Oryzias latipes: one gene and its partners. The protein of the gene in region 1 interacts with the protein of each later gene in a biochemical or structural test. Links are inferred from orthologs where the notes say so. Each region holds a gene or a part of one and is shown in the gene's direction. Other genes may lie near its edges.

What was found.
Region 2: the proteins of rab6a (region 1) and kif20a form a complex in vitro, tested with the Homo sapiens proteins (2 studies listed by BioGRID). The link is inferred for Oryzias latipes from reciprocal best matches to the Homo sapiens genes RAB6A and KIF20A.
Region 3: the proteins of rab6a (region 1) and ocrl form a complex in vitro, tested with the Homo sapiens proteins (2 studies listed by BioGRID and IntAct, with this or other methods). The link is inferred for Oryzias latipes from reciprocal best matches to the Homo sapiens genes RAB6A and OCRL.
Region 4: the proteins of rab6a (region 1) and protein bicaudal D homolog 1 form a complex in vitro, tested with the Homo sapiens proteins (3 studies listed by BioGRID). The link is inferred for Oryzias latipes from reciprocal best matches to the Homo sapiens genes RAB6A and BICD1.

Annotation. Positions count from the first base shown.
Region 1 is NC_019872.2:16,402,902-16,408,823, forward strand, and holds the start of rab6a (ras-related protein Rab-6A), read left to right. Parts: upstream 1-2,018; 5' UTR 2,019-2,266; coding exon 2,267-2,336; intron 2,337-2,595; exon of another isoform or gene 2,596-2,615; intron 2,616-3,923; coding exon 3,924-3,982; intron 3,983-4,082; coding exon 4,083-4,136; intron 4,137-4,753; coding exon 4,754-4,859; intron 4,860-4,969; coding exon 4,970-5,081; intron 5,082-5,296; coding exon 5,297-5,390; intron 5,391-5,814; coding exon of another isoform or gene 5,815-5,908; intron 5,909-5,922. UniProt on the Homo sapiens protein: The small GTPases Rab are key regulators of intracellular membrane trafficking, from the formation of transport vesicles to their fusion with membranes.
Region 2 is NC_019872.2:14,186,798-14,190,852, forward strand, and holds the end of kif20a (kinesin-like protein KIF20A), read left to right. Parts: coding exon 1-82; intron 83-182; coding exon 183-294; intron 295-368; coding exon 369-443; intron 444-520; coding exon 521-661; intron 662-763; coding exon 764-932; intron 933-1,020; coding exon 1,021-1,173; intron 1,174-1,369; coding exon 1,370-1,509; intron 1,510-1,706; coding exon 1,707-1,809; intron 1,810-1,921; coding exon 1,922-2,120; intron 2,121-2,203; coding exon 2,204-2,295; intron 2,296-2,371; coding exon 2,372-2,509; intron 2,510-2,895; coding exon 2,896-3,255; 3' UTR 3,256-3,555; downstream 3,556-4,055. UniProt on the Homo sapiens protein: Mitotic kinesin required for chromosome passenger complex (CPC)-mediated cytokinesis. Following phosphorylation by PLK1, involved in recruitment of PLK1 to the central spindle. Interacts with guanosine triphosphate (GTP)-bound forms of RAB6A and RAB6B.
Region 3 is NC_019868.2:9,852,000-9,856,433, forward strand, and holds part of ocrl (inositol polyphosphate 5-phosphatase OCRL-1), read left to right. Parts: intron 1-878; coding exon 879-1,055; intron 1,056-1,183; coding exon 1,184-1,433; intron 1,434-1,519; coding exon 1,520-1,660; intron 1,661-1,728; coding exon 1,729-1,830; intron 1,831-1,939; coding exon 1,940-2,054; intron 2,055-2,918; coding exon 2,919-3,035; intron 3,036-3,123; coding exon 3,124-3,305; intron 3,306-3,852; coding exon 3,853-3,964; intron 3,965-4,203; coding exon 4,204-4,313; intron 4,314-4,434. UniProt on the Homo sapiens protein: Catalyzes the hydrolysis of the 5-position phosphate of phosphatidylinositol 4,5-bisphosphate (PtdIns(4,5)P2) and phosphatidylinositol-3,4,5-bisphosphate (PtdIns(3,4,5)P3), with the greatest catalytic activity towards PtdIns(4,5)P2.
Region 4 is NC_019864.2:29,416,603-29,421,036, reverse strand, and holds part of protein bicaudal D homolog 1, read left to right. Parts: intron 1-4,265; coding exon 4,266-4,434. UniProt on the Homo sapiens protein: Regulates coat complex coatomer protein I (COPI)-independent Golgi-endoplasmic reticulum transport by recruiting the dynein-dynactin motor complex.

The DNA of each region.
Region 1 (5,922 bases):
GTTGTACTTTACTGTGACATTGAAAGCTGCAGTCATTACACTTACATGAAGGTGGATCGGAAAAGTGATGATCGCCCTGCACTAAGCCCACAGATGCAGGGAGATGGATCCAATTAAATTAACCTGCTCACATCTAGCAGATAAACACTTTTTATCTTCCTAAAAAGAAAAACAAAAAGCCAAACAAGAGAATCCTACATTCAAAACGAAGAACTCCATGGAGTCATTTCCAATCTGTGAGTCATAACAGGTCTTTCCCATCTCAACGACTCAAAATTTGCCGAAGTAAATGATGCACTGACAAAGCATGTGACCAACACACCAGCATGAAGTCATAGCTGGAAGTGGTTCATTATTCAATTCATTATTGCTGCCCCTCTGTTCAATTGTGCGACTTTCAATTACAATTACAACTTTTTCTAATTTATTCTGCAGAATTAGATGTTCTTGCTATGCTTTGAAATAGTGGGACCACCTTCCCATTATCAATACATAACTGTTAACGTAAAAAAAAATGCACAAAAAAATTCCCCCTCACATGTGGAAGACAGGGAAAGAGCAGGACATGCTGTGGGGAGACAAATAGATTTTGTCGTTTCAGCATCTTCTGAGGGAATGGGAGGAGGTCTTTCCCCTCACCAAGGACATTAGCGGTACAAGGGCTAAAAGAAGAGAAGACGGGCAAGCTAGTGAACCATGATGGCTCCACTTCAGCTCCGCTTTTGGTCACAAACCTTGCAGCTGAAGTGCCAGCATCAGCTGATAAATGCTGTAAGAGGAGCTGGACGACACAAGAATGAAAGAGGGGCGCAGGTGTGTGCATTCTCTTAACTGACCTAGAACAGCTGAGGTAGGCAGAAATGTGCAGACTGTACTGTAGTAAAACACTACACATGTATTTATGTAAATTATATCTCAAACAATTTTGTATTGCTGCAAAAATTTGGGTTGTATAAAAATAATACAAAATATCAAATTAGGAGAATTTGCAATTAGCCTCATTGCATTAAAGTTATACTCAAATGAGGTTAGACCCAAGGAAACAACAACAATTATATTATACATTAGTTGTAATTACAAATATTACACAGTATGTTGTGTGAATAATCACGATTGTTCAAAGTCTGGACAATAAAGAATCATGCATGTCAAAATTTCATCCCTGGTAAAAAATTCCCATTTTATGTCATTATGATACCAAATGAAACATTAACATTTGTAAAAAGAGTACAAGATTTGATGACTATAAGCTGGTTGGAGAAAAGGATGTTCCACAAAAGCATTACAAATGTCAAAAGCCCTCGGTAATCAGAGCATTTTAACAACCAGGAATTTTTGAAAGCAAAAATGTGGAACATATTACAACAGATGTAAAAATCAGAAATTTTCTCAATAAAAGCTTTGACTTTTTTCATACAACTACATGCCATTTTTTTCTAAGCTACTTTTAACAAAAAAATGTTATATTAGATTTATCATAATTCTTTCATCTGGTAAACATAGCAGAACTTCAGCTGTGTACCTGAATAGTCCCCCATGAGACCCCCTTTATAATGACAAAATTTATAACTATTTCTACTATCTCTGCATCAAAACCCAAAATTTTCTGACTTAAAATTTACAAACAATCAATTAAGTCTATACACACTGTTATGTATTTAATAGAGCTCATGCAAGAATTTGGGTTTAATACCTAATATAAATAATTTAGGTTAAAATTTCATTATTGGTATAACTTTTATTCATGGGAAATCAGACGGATTTTAAAAAAAGGAGTCCTGAAAATAGAACATGTGAAATGAATAATAATAATAATAATAATAATAATAATAATAATAATAATAATAATAATAATAATAATAATAATAATAATAATAATAATAATAATGTGGTGTTAGCGCGCCCTCGTATGGAAACATGAAGTAATAAAAAATAGTATGGCATTTTTTTCCCTCCCATCCTTGCTGGTTGAGCACCAGCAGAGGGCGTGGTAGCACTGTTACACACGTATCATACACTGATGTGTCTACAGAAGAAGTGTCTGGAGGGGCTTGCTGGTAGCCATGACAGTCTGAAGTAATGCTCAGTTGGCAGTAATAGTTACCGACTTATCTGAAAGTGTGTTGGAGCTTAAAGGAGTTGTCATTGATTACCAAACTTTGTTTCTGAACTTTACGTATACCATACACTTGATAACAGACAATAGCTACTTAGTTAGAATTAATACTTAAGGGCGCCTTCTGGGTTCGTTTTTGGTTCCGTCGACATGTCTGGGGCCGGAGACTTCGGGAACCCTTTAAGGAAATTTAAACTGGTCTTCCTCGGGGAACAAAGTGGTAAGTTTTTCTCGTTACGGTTCCCTTTACGAGGAATGTATGTTATCAATATTATTGTGATAAACTTTCCTTTTGAAAACCAGAGTTTAACGGGATGCCTGGTTTTTCTTCCGCTTTGTAGTTAGCTAGCTAACATTAGCTGCGTTTACTTGAAACCGGATAAAAACACTGCTGATCATGCTGCCTGTAGTGTGGACGCGGACTCCGAGGATAATCACAGATCATTCTTCACGTTTTGATCATGTAATTCATTGTGTTTGCTGACTTGTCTTTTCACTGGTAAGATGTAACATGTTAAGAGTGGAAAGTTGTAAATTATTAAGAAGTAGTAGACAGTATATTATTTATTATGAGGCTGTTTCTTAACCTAGCAAATAATAGGCTAACTTACATGATGTATTTTTATTAAGATAAAGTGTTGTCCTAATCAATTTGTTTATTTTATTTATTTATGGTATGTTACCCTTCTAAATTCCTATAGTCCGCGTGAGCACAGGAAGATAACTCACTCTACCATACTCGCAAGAGTTTCCTTAAAAGCACACAGTAAGGATCCTAGATCCTTCCTCCGTTCAGCAACCTCCTGGTGGGTTTAGAATGTTTTCATTTGAACATTAAGTATTTGAAGGACCTATAATATTTATATCTAATGTTTTTATAATGGGATTTCTCCTAAGTGATTACTTCCAGGATTAGAACCAACAACCGTCTTACAGTCACAAACCATCACACATTTAATTTGTTTATATTTATTTTAGACTTTATTTATCTACAAATGTACAATTTATCTACATGCATACATGTTTTGCATTCAGAACATTTTCTGCCTAAGTGTTAGACTCAGAGCTTTCAGTAAGATAGTTATGATCACGTCCATATATCCGCTTTCATAAACCTGCTGGGAATTGAGTAACATAATAGAAATGTGGAGTAATACAGAGTAGAAGTGTTTCATCCTACGGAACGAGTCATCCAAAAAAAGCCGATAGTTATCGTCTGTGACCTCTGTGAACAGTCATGTTGGCCTGAGCCATGTCACTGTCCCCCTTGTCGCTCATTGAAACTGATAACGTAACTCGAGTAATAAACAGTCTTAGGACAGGAAGGATTGCCTAACATGGATATCCACTTCAATTGATTATTTTTTTAAAGAAATGTCATAAAGTCTGAACAGGTGATCATTAACATACTGTTTTTTATTTAGGATATGCCATGTTTGGGTCAATCTAGGCCACAATATTTAGAAATTCACACACAAAAAAATCCTGTTTTGAATACCTAGACCCCAGTCCTTTCTTCCGACTGTTCCTCAACCCTCCATTTTAAAATAATGTCATTCCATATCTTAAAAAACTGGACTATATGGATGCATTCTCTAAACACTTATCGTAGTTATCATATAGGGGTTATTTCTACACCCATTTGTTGATTCGACGTAATAAAATGTAAATCCGTTACTTGATAAAACCTGTGTTCCTTTCTTAAAAAAATCTACATTTTGTGCTCAATATTAAACAAAAAAATTAAATCAATGCATATAGATATTGAAAAGTTCAATTTTTCCCTTAATCTTTATTTCTGTTTTAGTGGGAAAGACTTCGTTGATTACCAGGTTCATGTATGACAGCTTTGACAACACATACCAAGTAAGACTGCCTGTTTTCCTAAGCATTAATGTACCTTGTATTTTGTCGTGTTAATTTAAAGCAATTATAGCTGTATAATGAAGTTCTTTTTCTCTTTCAGGCCACAATAGGAATAGATTTCCTATCAAAAACCATGTACCTTGAAGACAGAACAGTAAGTTTTGTGTGTTTCCTATCCTAACTTGTAAATCCTGTTTGTTGTTTTGATTGGCGTGGGTTTTGTGTGAAGGCCATGCAAAGCCGAATCACCTCACACGGTCGGTGAGCTTTTGTACAACTGATCTGACTGGTTAAGCGCCTGACTTTTTAAGTGTTCACTTCAAAAAGCACATGTAGAACATTGTAGTGTCCTGTTGTACCGTCGGGACAGGCCTCACTGTATTCTTTTTCCCTCAACTGAAGTTTTCTTCCTCTCCTTTCCTTTCCATCATCTATTAATCATCACATTTCTTTTAAATGAAACACCTTACTTGGTCAATAGAGGGGGTGACAAATGAAAGGTGACTGTTTATTTCTTTCCCCCCCAGGCCCAGACAGCTTACTCTCTCTGATGGTCATTCCCAACATGCACGTGTTACTTCTTTTCTATTCACTTTCTGTTTTTTCTTTTTTTTTTCTCCATTAGTCTGAAAGAATTTTCTTTCAATATTCGTTTTGGCCGCGTTGACTGGGTCCTTTATCTGTTTGTTTTCATCTTGATTTTGTGTTTTATTTCTTTTTTATTTTTTTCTTCTCTTTCATTTTTCATTTCATCCTCTTCCTGCCCCACAGATCAGGTTGCAGCTGTGGGACACAGCAGGACAAGAGCGCTTTCGCAGCCTCATCCCAAGTTATATTAGAGACTCTGCTGCCGCTGTTGTTGTGTACGACATCACGAGTGAGTGATTTAGCATCACTAGACTGATGGGACTTCTGTGCTGCGATCCAGCAGCTTTCACAGCTAAGCTACCTCACTGAATTTGGGATGAACTTTTGTCTCTCTGTCAGACGTTAACTCTTTCCAGCAAACCACAAAATGGATTGATGACGTTAGAACAGAGAGAGGAAGTGATGTCATCATCATGTTGGTGGGAAACAAGACAGACCTGGCTGACAAAAGGTAATTTCTTGCATCTTCTGTGCAGGCTTTCCCTTTTGAAGTCACATTTCGACTGATGACCCTGTTTTTCTGTGTTCTTCAGGATAACCAAAGCTATTGTTTATTTGACATTTTCCATGATTGCAAATGTTTACAATGATGCATTTGATTGACTTGTTAAGCGACGCTGTGTTTTGTCTAGTTGTGTATCTTTTCAACACCTTTATCTACCACAGGCAAGTTTCTATTGAAGAGGGCGAACGGAAAGCCAAAGAACTAAATGTAATGTTTATTGAGACTAGTGCGAAAGCGGGCTACAACGTAAAGCAGGTAAAGTTGTGTGTCAGTCGTGCTCTGTAGTCCTGCTGCCGATGCTGCCCTGGGCTTCAACTCCAGAAGCCTCAAATATCTCTAATAATCTGTGATCGCTGACATGATGACAGATCATTAGTGATTAAGCATTGACTACAAATCTGATTATTTCTAAAAATGTGATGGCATCGTTTGGTTAGAGAATCTAAATCTTGTCTTAAATGCATCTCTAGTGCTGGCTGTGGACTCATGAGGCTTCTGGTCTTCTGGTCTGGTGGCAGTAGCAGCGCAGCAGGAAGGGGCACGGCTTTCCAGTGTACTGTCAAATAATTATAGACTGTGCTGTTCTTTTGTTTTTCTCCTGTCTGCGTGTTGATGTGTGCGTCGGTGTGTGCGTCTCCCGGTTGTTTTGCGGGTGCTCTGTGATTGTGGCTGGTCACAGACAGATAACCACAGAGGAAGGAGAACAGAGAGCAAAAGAGATGAATGTTCTGTTTATTGAAACAAGTGCAAAGACAGGCTACAATGTCAAACAGGTAGAGGCTGTGCA
Region 2 (4,055 bases), about 2.2 Mb from region 1:
GATACCTCACTCTCCCTGCAGTCCCGAAAAAGAATCACACTGCGGCTGAGTGACGACAAGCAGGGCAACCCCTACGTGAAAGGTAACACCAGCTGGTCCTCTGGAACAAGTCTCTGCTTTGTGTTTGACTGTATAACATGTATACATAACGTTGAGTTCTTCTTCCCCTTTCATCGCCACAGACCTTACCTGGATCCAGGTGCGGAGCGCAGAAGAAGCCTGGAAGGTTTTAAAAGCTGGATGTCGAAACCAGAGCTTTGCCAGCACTCATCTTAATCAAAACTCCAGCAGAAGGTAGGACCCCAGCAAGAGGTTTTCTGTTTTGAATTCTTTTTGTAGCATATCTAATGGTTAATTCATGAATTCAGCCACAGCATCTTTTCCATCCGCGTTCTGCACGTCCACCCCGATGCAGTTCCAGGGCAAGCTTTGCAAATCAGCGAGTAAGTTCAGCTGCAGCAAGCTCAAACTCAGTGACATTATTTTGGGCGCTGCCATGTTTTGATCATGCACTTTCCAGGCTGACTGTGTGTGATCTGGCCGGATCTGAACGCTGCAAAGAGCAGCGTCTTGGAGAAAGGATGAAGGAAGCCACCAACATCAACACCTCCCTTATGACCCTGGGGCGCTGTATCAGCGCCCTGAGGCACAACCAGAACAAGTAGGTGTAAAACTGACACTTTGGTTGGACCGAGCAGAACAAAATGTGGGAGCTGAGTTGTTGAGTGAGGGATATTCAAAGTATTTTGTATCCCGTCAATAGATCACGGCCACCTCAAGTGGTACCCTTTAGGGACAGCAAACTGACGCGCGTCCTGCAGGGCTTCTTCTGTGGGCGGGGAACCTCTTGCATGGTGGTCAACATCAACCCATGTGCTTCCACCTACGACGAAACCCTTCAGGTCCTCAAGTTCTCTGCAATTGCGACGCAGGTCAGAAAACGAGTCCTTTACCTCGACAACTGGACTGGTTTAGCACTGCATAAAAGGACAAAAATGAAATAAAACCGTTCTTTTGCAGCTCGTCCACGGCCCATCTACTAAGACCAGAGTGGCCTACATTCTGTCCATGCTTCGTGAGCAAACGGCCAACAGGAACGAAAGCACTGTGATGGAGGAAGAAGAGGAAGAAAGTGATGTTGAAGACGGAGACATCACCATGTTAAACACTGAGGTAAATGTGTTGGATCTATTCCTGGTGTTCTGTTTTATCTCTGACCTTAAAAAAGATGTAATTTTCTTCTGAGAAATCTGATTTCACTTTGAGTGTTACAACATTTTGCAAGTGTTATGGAATATTTAAGATGAACATCTCATATCTGAAAAATTGTTCCCATTTTTAAATAGTTTAAATGTTTTACATTTTTAAGACTTTGCTGCAAGCAATTGATGTCCTAAAGCGAGAAGTGCGGCGCCAGCGTGAAGAGAAAGTGGCTCTGGAGGCCAACGTGAGGGAGCAGGTGGTCTCTGAGATGATGGAAGTCATCACCAACATGCAGGAAGGTTTCAAGTATGTGTTTTTTGAATAACAATCAGAATTAGTTGTCAATAAAAGTCAGTTGGGGTCAGTTGAATTTAAACTATCAAAAGAAACATTACATCCATGATTCTTTTTTGTGTCAGTGACTCAAAAGTAAAAGTATGCAATAAGTACACGTTTTTCTTTGTTGAGACGGCTTCAGGTGCTTAGCAGTTGCTTTCTTTTAGGGAAACCCTAGAGACTGAGAAAGGTCTGATTGAAGAGCTGTATGAAAACAAGATCGCCTGCCTGCAGAAACATCTGCAGAAATTCTACAGCCGAGAGCTCGAGGTCAGACTTGGATTTTCTATTTTTTTTTTTTTAACAGTTATAGGTTTTGTTTCCTCATAGAGGGTCAGGGTAACCCCCATGTGTCTAAAATCACTGTATGGATGTTTCATAGGAGCGGGATCAGGAGATTGAGGCTTTAAAGGCAGCTCTAAAAGAACAAAAGAAGGCAGCGGAAGGACCGGTCTCTATGCTGGAGCCTTTAGGAGACTCTGATTGTCCTCGGCGGTCGCAGCGGCTCAGCTCCAACGACGTCTGCAGACTGCGAGCTGAACTTGAACAGTGTCGCATCGAGCTTTTCGCCAAGACTCAAGGTAATTCATTTTTTCATGCATGTTTAAAAAGGTTATGTGAAATCGGCTAAATATTGAGTGTCTTAATCTGTTTGAATGCGCAGAACTAATGAAGCTGAGGGCGCAGTCCGAAGTGCCTGGTTCAGCTGGAACTGTCACTGGTGCAGCTGAGCGCAAGCTGCAGGGCTGTCAAAGGGTCAGTCCACTGTCGACTTCTTTTTTTTTTTTCCATTTGTGATTTGTACGAATAAAGGTGATTCATTCTCCAACAGAACCTGCGGCAGCTGCGTCTGGACTTGCTGAGGCTGGGAGAGGAGCTGCAGTCTGGGGAGAGAGCCTGCTGTCGCAACACGGGCGGGGAGAGGCTGCGCCACACATTAACGGCTGCAGATGAGACACTTGTTAAGCAGGTACAGCCGCTTACAGCCAGGAGAGCTTAATCCCTCTGTACACTCTGACTCTCTTGGTGTGCTCGGTCTTCTGTAGCAGGAAAAAAAGGCTTAAAATATGTGCCATTACACTTTCTTAGCTTTTCATGTCAGATGTGAGCAAGCCATCATTACAGCATTTAGAACGTAACTGTTCAGGTGTTTAATTCTCTTTAAATCTCTTTCTTCCCCCCTAAATTCTCTCTTTAACCCCTTGTCATGCACAGGCATCTTTAAAACTAAACCTAGGGTTCTAACACGTTCTCCTGGTGGCGTACTACAGCATGCTGCACTGTTGTCTTACTTCCTCCCCACGTTCAACCGCATCTCCTCCTCTAGTCTCATCTAACCAACTGACTTCTTCTTAGAACCAGATCCTGACGGAGCTGCAGAATGGCCTGATGTTGGTCAAAGCTGAGCTACGGCGCAAAGCGGAGACCCAGATGGGCCGCCCTGAGCTGCAACCGGCGGGCTTCGCCACGCCCACCACATCGGGCTTCTGTAAAAAGCGGGGCTGCACGCCCACCGGCGACACGGAAAACCGCCCGCCACAGAAGCGTCCCTTTTTCCAGTCCCTGTTCCCGCCGCGAACCCCAACACCCAGATACTGCACCCGCGGCGCCGAAGAAGCCAACGCCACCCCATACATGCGGGTTCTAAGGTCACGCCAACAGACCCCCCCTCCTAGCCCAGTCCTCACGCCTCGTAGTGTCAGAGCGAAGCACTGAGCTGAAATTCTCACATCATTCAAAAGAAAAGTTGCTGGTTATCTTTATACTGTTCTCATACGTTAATCGCCTGCTTTTTGCTTAACTTGCTGCCGTGCCAGATAGTTACTTTATAAGCCAGTAAAGCTGCAGGAGACAAAAGGAAACTGATGTGTGTAAGAACATCAAAGTACAAGCTTCTGAAGTAAAAAAGTTTATTTCTGATTCCATTGACTTTAATAAAAGTAAAGTGTAATGGAAGCTCATGTTTGCAGTAACTTTTAAACTGTTTTGAATAAAAATGAAACGGCTTTGATCTTATTTTGATTCAAAAATGTGTTACTGATTCATTGGAAGAAACCTATACGTTTTGGGTTTTTTTAACTGGCATTTCCAAGTGCTTGCCGTAAGTTTTTAAAGGAAAAATAAATGTATTTTTTCTTTTTCTGGTGAGGAACTTGATCCAGTTGTCCTCAAACATTATCAGCTTGACTGCAGTGTTTCCATGACCAAAGACACCTTTTTTTGGGAGGTAGGGATGCTCTTTAGCTAATAAGCTTTAATATATAATTATATGCTGCATGGATCTGTGTTTATGTAAATATTTCACATCCTTCTCAATGTCTGGTTTTGCACATTAGTATTTAGCCAGTTTGGTCTGAATAAAATGGGATTCATAAAAAATGGTTTGCATGTATTTAATGTGAGAATGTAAGAAAAGTTTCACACATTTATTTATTTTTCCCAACAAATAGCACGTTTCTGTTTGTACACTGGTAGCAAAAATGCATCATATGTTGTCCAGAATTGCCTTTAAGTGA
Region 3 (4,434 bases), on another chromosome or scaffold:
AGAACCAGTTCTTTCAATCTGCTACTTTTTTCATGTTCATTTTTACTTTTAACTTTACTATTCTCTCTCGTGTTTTAACACTAAAACTAAAAAGTCCTCCAGCTTTGTTTTGTTTTCCCACCAAATCCATGTTCACTGAGATTCACCTTTGCTTCTTGGCTAATTTATTCCCTGATTTCATGCGTACACATGCAGAGATTAACCTGGATTTACAGATATCCATGTGATCTGACAAAAAAGATCCCCAATTTTTAAATTTGCATTGCATTTGCGCAACAACAAATACGTCAGATGAATTTTTAAAAGGATTCCAACAAAGCTAATTTAGCAATTTAAGTAATAATGCTTTAAGCAACCTGTAGGAAAAACAAATCACAATGTTGTTTATGCTGTTTTATTTGGATCAAATGATGAATGTGAAGCGAGTGTTTGGTCTCCTCACAAATGTATGAAAGGAAAACTTTGTAAATGAAGTGACCAAACCATGCAGACACGTAGAGGGAAAAACAAAGGGGTCCTTCACCTTCCCTCACTTCCATTTTTTTTATTTTTATTACCAACTATAACCAAACTTTAAGTGCTTTTTATTATTCTAATAACAAAATAGATTTCCACTTAATATGTACATGAAACGATCCCCATCTAGATAAAAACAGAGTTCCACCGCTGTCTCATTAGATTAGTAAGCAGCAGGTTATGATAATATCTAAGATCAAACTTTTAACCTAAATTCATAGTCATTGGCTTTGTTTATCAAAGGTTGATGCTGCATTTAAAGGTTAATTCCTTTCAGAAGCTCAGTGAGAGTTTGAATTTGGGTTGAATTTCTTCTTTGTGGTGGTGATTTATTAATCCCCCCCCCCTCTCATGTTTTTCAGCTGCATTGAAATTGATTAAATCCAAACCAATGGAGCCTCTTCCACCAAACACTCACAGGAGTCCAGTTCCCATCCCGCCTCAAAGAGCGTCTGGGAGATCTGCGGCCAACCAGCCTGCATCCAGCGGCAGCCTGCAGACCGGCTTCAACAGCAGCACTTCAACAAATCAAAACACAGGTAACAAGATACTGTACTCACATTCAAGAAGATGTGTCAACAGAAGCTCTACCTTCCTCTAAACCTTAAAACTCTTCCTATGATGTTTTTTTTCTTATCCACTCCTTCATTGTGACGTTTTCTTAAAGATCCAGTTCAATCGCTTGCCTCAGACTTTGGATTCGAGCAGAACTTTTGCCACGCTCTCAAAGTGGAAGAGAAGAAGAACCACCAGAATCGGATCACTGCTAGCAGAGAACCTCCACCTGTCCCCTCTCTGCCCCCCCGCAAAACCCCGTCGGCCCCAACAAACCCCGTTCCCCCCGCTCCCATTATGAAAAGCAAAGCTACCTCCTCAGTGGGTTTCGACACCTCGGCAATAAGCGGCGCCAAATCAGAGTGAGTCTGGTGTAGAAAGGGTTCATCACAGGAAGCTCATCCTTTTAAAACATTGCTGATTTGAATTTGATGGGGGGGGGGGACAGATCTCTGTCTTGGTGTGACAGCCCCACCAGCAACAGCATGAGAGACACGGTGTTCCTGAGCCAGACGGGCCAAAGAGAAATCCTCCTCAAGCACATCTTGTCAAAGAGAGAGAACGAATATGTGGACATCAAGAATTTCAGGTGAAAAAGCTGGTTGAGGTAGATCTGCGCTTGTCGTCTCATTCCATTCACTAAATGTTGCTCTGCAGGTTTTTTGTAGGAACATGGAACGTAAATGGACGCTCTCCTGACAGCAGTCTTGGACCGTGGCTGTCCTCTGACCGTGAACCTCCAGATATTTATGCTATAGGGTCGGTAAATATTCATTTTCCTTAATCATTCTTAACATAAAAGTATATTTGTTGCCATCAGCTCCTGCCTGGGGAGCTATCAGAGTTTTGACACGCTCGTTTACTCTAGTTTTCAAGAACTGGACCTGAGCAAGGAGGCTTTCCTTTACATGGATTCATCCAAGGAGCAACTTTGGATTGATGCTGTGGAGCGAAACTTGCACCCAAAAGCCAAATACAAGATAGTGAGTATTAAAAGTGGATGATCCGCCTGTTTGAACTCCAGAAAAACTGCCCTAGATGAAGACCAGGGGTCTGCAACCTGAGGCTCCATAGCCACATGCGGCTCTTTTACCCCTCTATTGTGGCTCTCTGATTGGAGAAAAAGAAAAACGTTTTTATTGAAAATGTCATGTATCTTTTTGGACAATAAGGCACATCCAGCGGAACAAAAATGTCAAGTCAAACTTTATTTAACTCCCCCAAAAAAAGTAGAAGCATGCAGGAACATTTCACTCCAGGAGGCTCCTGACTACTGTACCCATAATGCTCCAAAAATCCATCAAGCAATGCAACTTCATAGTTTACCAAAGACATACTAAAACATTTGGACAGAGTTTTGGATCACAGAAGATCGGACTTGGAGATCAGTAAGACAACCAGAATTCCTACATGGGGGCATTAGGCGGATTTCCTATTTTCAGTACACTATGGTCCAAAAAATACGGTAGAGCAAACAACGGTAAAACATAATGTGCATATTTTTCTGACATTTCACTACCTACTTCTAAATTTGCTGCATTGAGATGATCCTATATGCTACAGAGTGTTAAAAGTTATAAACTTAAAGAAAAAAACGTCTGTTTTCCCTTTATGTTTTTGTTTTATTTATCCGGGAAGAAAAACAAGTTTATTTATGTTTATCATAATAGTAACAATGCCATAAATATAAAGCTGTGTCTTATTGTTTTCAAGGGTAAAGTAAGACTTTGTGACTTCTATTGGGTGGTAATCAGTTAGAAATTGACCCGATTGTTTCTTGAAGGTTGCAGACCCATATGATAGGCCAAGAAAAGTTTGCTAAGCTCACTGGGTAATGGTTTTTACAGATTCAGATCATCCGGTTGGTTGGGATGATGCTTGTGGTTGCTGTAAAGAAGATTCATGTGCGGAGCATAACGGAAGTAGCTTCGGATCACGTGGGCACAGGAATTCTGGGGAAAATGGTTGGTTCACTTTCTATTTGGATTCAAATCTGTTTTCACAATTAGATTTCTTCCACTAAATAACAAACCCGTTCATTGTGTGTTTCAGGGGAACAAGGGAGGAGTTGCAGTGCGATTTGTTTTCCACAACACGAGCTTCTGCTTCGTCAACTCCCACCTCGCAGCAAAACTCGAGGAAACCGAACGTCGCAATCAGGACTACAAAGACATTTGTGCTCGCATGATCTTCAACATGCCGGGGTCTCCTTCTCTCAGTATTGTCAAACACGAGTGAGTTTCTCAGGGTCTAGCTCTAAATTAGTCTCTTTTTAATCTAAATATTTGTAACCATTGTATCAGACTGTTAACCGTTTAACAGCGGAGCTTTGAAGCTGAGAAAATCAGCTTTGCATGGTTAAGGAACACTTTACGTTAGTAATGTGTTGCATATCAGAAAAGCCACTTTTCTCCACGTTAGAATCAACTGATCCAGGTTGATCACCTATACCAGGGGTTCCCAAATCCAGGCCTCGAGAGCCGGTGTCCTGCTGGTTTTCAAAAAACCCCCGCCTTATTTGCTGCTGATTACCTGGATCAGGTGTGCTTAGCCAATAAGGAGCTTCAATGGCAGGTTGGAAAACATGTAGGACACCGGCCCTCGAGGCCTGGATTTGGGGACCCCTGACCTATACAGACAAAGAGTTACAGTATGCCAAGGCGTGTGTGTTATTTAGGTGTTGCCGGTGACATGCCAGGTGCTAAAAAGGTTCAACATTTTAAAACCAATATGATTTTTCTGAACTTAAGTTTACTAAAACGCTGTTTTTATGTGTCTTAGTGTAGTAATCTGGCTCGGGGACCTGAACTACCGCCTGTTTAACAAAGACTGCGGTGACGTTAAGCGGATGATTTCTGAGGGTAAACTGAAACAGCTCCTGAAGTTTGACCAGGTAAGAAAGGGTCTGACAGCTTTCTGTAAACTAGTTGTGCCCTGATACCTTGCCGTCTTGCCACACAAGAAAAAAAAATCACAATAAAATGAAATAAAAAATGTAAATGAAATAGAAATTTGGATTCAGGAAAAGTCATTGGAAATAAAAAAAAATCTTTTGTTAAGGCTGGCTGTCAGGAAGGAATGAAACAGAATGTGACAAGAATGAACAATGTTTTGTGTTTGTCTGTTGTGCAGTTGAGCATTCAGAGACAAACAAAACGGGCCTTCTCTGACTTCATAGAGGGAGAGATCAACTTCATACCCACCTACAAGTATGAGCCCAAAACAGACTTTTGGGATTCAAGGTGAATATCAGTGGGATTGTATTTAACTTGTTTTTGACGTAAAATTCTAACAAAGTTTGTCCTATTTTTAGCTTTATACAGTATTTTTTTATTGGTCATGAGCTAATCTTTTAATTCCTAT
Region 4 (4,434 bases), on another chromosome or scaffold:
AGTGGGAGCATTTAGATGTTAAATAGAGGTGGACCCAGGACGGAGCCTTGGGGAACTCCATTTATATTTAACATGCTGGTTCAGATGTAAAATAGACACAAAACATTTCCTGTTTTCCAAGTACTTTTTGGCCAAATAGTGTTTGAAAACATGATTGTACAAGTTCTGCACTGTGAGTCCAGCCTCTTGTATAACTTCCCACTGTCTGTCCTAAAATATTAAATTTGGACTACCATTCGTGCTTGCTCGCCAAAGCTTCCCCTCATAGACTCTGTCACATGTTAACCCTTAGTAGCCCAGAGTTTCACAGTTTGCTGGAATGATTGACCTTTAAAATAGTTTTTATGGCAATGCTTGATATGTCTTTTTAGCAGAACCACAGAATTTCTTTTTTTACTAACAAATGTTTTATTAAATCACACAATAATTGCATGATAAACTTGAAACTGAACAGGAAAAAAAGTGAACTGTTACATATTGTTAGTTATTTACTGCAAAACTGAGATTAATTTAAACATTTTTTTTAAATGTACAAACAAAATGACAATAAGAAAATCCAAAAACAAAGCTAAAACAATGTAAAAAATAAACATGCAGGGAAAAAAAGACAACAGTATAAACTATGTAAATGTTCTAAGGATATATTCCGAGTTGTGTCATAATTATGCATCAAAGCTCCCTTTATGTTTGTTTTATACCAAAACTTTCAAAGCAAAATACCTTCCGGCATCATTTAAACAAACCATGTGATTGACAAATGCACCGATGAGAGCAGAGACTACTAAGGGTTTCACATCCCATAACAAGGAAAGTTTGAATCAAAACAATGATTCCTCTATTTCTTTTCAATGGTAAATAAAATAAATTCCAGCTGGAGACCTCCTCGATTCCTCATTATCGCCCGGAGCTCACAGGAAAGGACTGGTCCTCCCTGCTCCTCCCCCCTTACACTGCTTTGCTGCTCCTGCTATCGCCCCAGGGATGAATATTTTCATAGAGGGGCCCCGTTGTCTGGACTTCCACTATTAAGGCATACTGAACACAAAATGATGCGTTCAATGCAAAGATCCAAAGAGATCAATGAGGGGCTCCATCATTCTCGTCTTGAAAAAAAAAAATTTCCACTGCAGAAGGACCCCCCCCCAGAGTTGGAGATGCGTCTCTATACAGCATTTGGTGTCATCGCTGACACACAGCACAGTTCTGTCGCTGTTATTTTTGCCTGTAGACGTCATATGGGGGCAAAGCAGACAGGAGTAAACAGGAAGTCATTGCCATCATTGCAGTTCCCTGACGTTTTCTCCAAGCAGCTCGCAGATGGAGGAGAGGACCTGGAGAATTGTGGTTCATCCCGTGAAGGAGGGCTTTTATGAAACCATCTGCCTCTCATTATGCATCTAAGAGCCACTGCTTCTTTGGATGAGTAGCTTCTGATTCATCATCGGAAATTCTGTTTCTGGCCTGTTTAGCATCGACTAAACCAAAAAGAAGTCTCCGTCATCTTGGCTTTTATCAGGTCACTAATGCATTATGCTGTAATTTATCAGTCATATTTGTGCTTAGGATGAAGCTGGAAGCTTAAATGAGCACCAACAGGAATGGCAACTTTTGTCTGTGCTGTTTGGATGCCAGATCCTTTCTAGCCCAGGAGCAGAAACCCTCTCAAATTGGTTCTTGGTTGCCTGGCAACCAAGAAAACCCCATCCCACTCCAAATGATCAGTTTTCACCTCGCAAATGTGGGGTGAAAATGTCCTTCCACACACCTGCGGGGCTCAGATGTTTTGCTGCGGGGCTTAAACGGGACGTCCAGCGCGGGAGTGCGAGCTCATTCAGGGGGCCTGTGGGCAGAATTAATCAGTGGATTTGTTCCAACAGGCTTTTTCTCCCATTCTACACCACAATCCCACTGTGCTTCCCTGGAGAGCAACAGAGGGCACTGTGGGCCCAGCAAGGGAGGGGGAACGAGCGAAAAATAAAAGAGTAACAGATGTGTAGAGACCGGGAGGGGAAAAAAAGGAAGATTTTCATTCTTTTGGTGGATATAAAGCAAATCCCAGAGGGCATCGTTTTGTGTATTGACATGCCTTTTACAGGGCTGGAGATTGCTCCCCTCATTCAAATGCTAAGCGCTCCTTTGTAATTCAAAGGCTTCACACAAATTTAAATATCCTACAGTTGAGTGAATTAATATCACTTCCTCGCCATGAATCAAATTCAACACATTGGTTCACTGGAATAGGAACGATCTGATCGGCCACACAGTGCAACCTATCTAGATCTACCGTTTACCTCTCATTCATGTTAATCTGTTGGTTCCTTACGACGATGTTCTAAAAGTAGGTCAAATGCATTTATTTAGCCCCGTTTCCACTGAGTGGTATGGTCCGGTCCAGTTTAGAATGGTCCAGGCAATTCAGGTGAGTGTTTCCACTCAAAGTTGGACCGTCATAACGACAACAACGGAGGTCAGCTCAGTTTTTTCCGCTTGGCTTTTGGTTCTTCGTTGATGCAAATAATTTCATGTTGTGTGAGAGAAGACTGCGGGCGGCGAAGAGGAAAAGAACTGCTTTCTCTGAGCTTTTTTTTTTCGTAATCAATGGGTTTCAACAGTATCTCCGCCCTTACCGGTTCATTCCATTTTTCTATGGACCTTCAACCAACGGGGCCTTAAAAAATGGTCCAGCTTAATGGAAACGCTAAAAATACCGGACTGGAGTTGACCGTACCATACCGCTCAGTGGAAACGAGGCATATGAGAACTGGAACGAGGGAGTGTGATGTCACCCATAGAAAATGGTTTACTTCAGGCCTCAAGTCAATTAGTTGCTATTTTTTAGTGATGTGGATGCCGCCATGTTGGAACCAGACAACATTAGTAAGCAGTGAACGGTCCGAATCAGCCTGTGTCACTGTGCCAAACGCTCTCACCAATCACCCCTACCCCCCCTACATGAAATCTGTCAATCAAGCAGTTTTAATGTTTGACATGGTGGGCCAGCAGTCTCCACCCACTTGTATTAAGGCAACTGACTTCATGGAAGAAGCTGCCGAGTCAAATTTGACCACTTTGTTTTTGGTTTTTTTGTAATTCTTTCATCTAAATTTTTTTTTTGCTCCTTTTAATTGCTGCTACCCAAACTGAACAAACAAAAAAAGAAAATCAAAATAATTTTAAAAGCCCAGAAGAAAATTGTGGTTGCTTCTCCAGGGTTAATCCCTATATCCTTCTTAGACGATTTGTGCATTTAGTTATTACCCATAATCTATCAGGCTGCTGAATGTAGCCTTTCAAATACATATTTATATTGGTTTTGCTATTATGTTTTATTTTTCCTGAATGCATGATGCCTGCCTTAAATTTTGTTTTCTTGTATGATGACATTAAAACATTCTTTTCCATTCTACTTATTGGGATAACCAGTAATTTATCATAATTTTAGTGCCTAAAACTGAAAATAATGTTGTAAAAAAATAATAAAAATGCCTTTTCTTGAATTTTTAGCTCAATTGTTTTTTTTTATTTTGAAACAACAGCAGCAGAGCTACAGTTTTCTGAATGCTACCAGACACTTGCTACTCATGCATTATTCAAATACCATTCTTTGGTTTGGGGGAATACACTTTGCTTGGCTAATTGCAGCTGTGGGAACGATGATTCATCTATCCTTTATATATCTTTATGCGGTCGTTGTAATCCATGAAATATTTTCCACATGCAGCTGTATTGATCCATCGTCTCCCAAAGAGCCCCCTGCCGGCTCCAGAGCCTGTCTTCCTGCTGATGTGCTGAGAAAATCCAGGATGGTTCAGAGGATTTATTGAGCTACTAGAGTATCTGCTGCATGGATGTCAGAGTGTGAGCAGTTTCCACACATGAAAAAAACAAACAGAACAGCAGCATTTTTATTTCCCATAAAGCTTTTGTGCAGAACAATGAAGCCAGATCGAGTGGCTCCGATCCACCTTGATTGGTCTTGTTGATGCCTGCTTTGATTTTCTCAATCAAGCCTCAGCGCCTTTATCGTGACAGGTCAGCCCTGGCGGCTGTGAAAACCTGTGTCAGGAAAACGGGAACACTGTGTCTATTGATCAAATGAAACATCACCCCTGTATAGACTGACAGCAGGTATTTTTGGTGGGAAGTGAGCAGGCCGTGCTGTGGTAGGGGAAGAAGATTTAGCGGCCCCCATAATGTCATTTTAATGATTGCAATTTGCAGAGGCATCATTCTAACGACTTTTCTTTCTTCCTCAACTCACTCAGGCGTTTGGCCAAGCGTACAGCAACCAGCGTAAAGTGGCTGAAGATGGAGAGACCATCGAGGAGACGCTGCTGCAGGAGTCAGCCTCCAAAGAGGCCTACTACATGGGCCGCTTGCTGGAGCTGCAGACGGAGGTGACGTTAAGTCGCTCAGTGGTGTCCAACGCTCAGG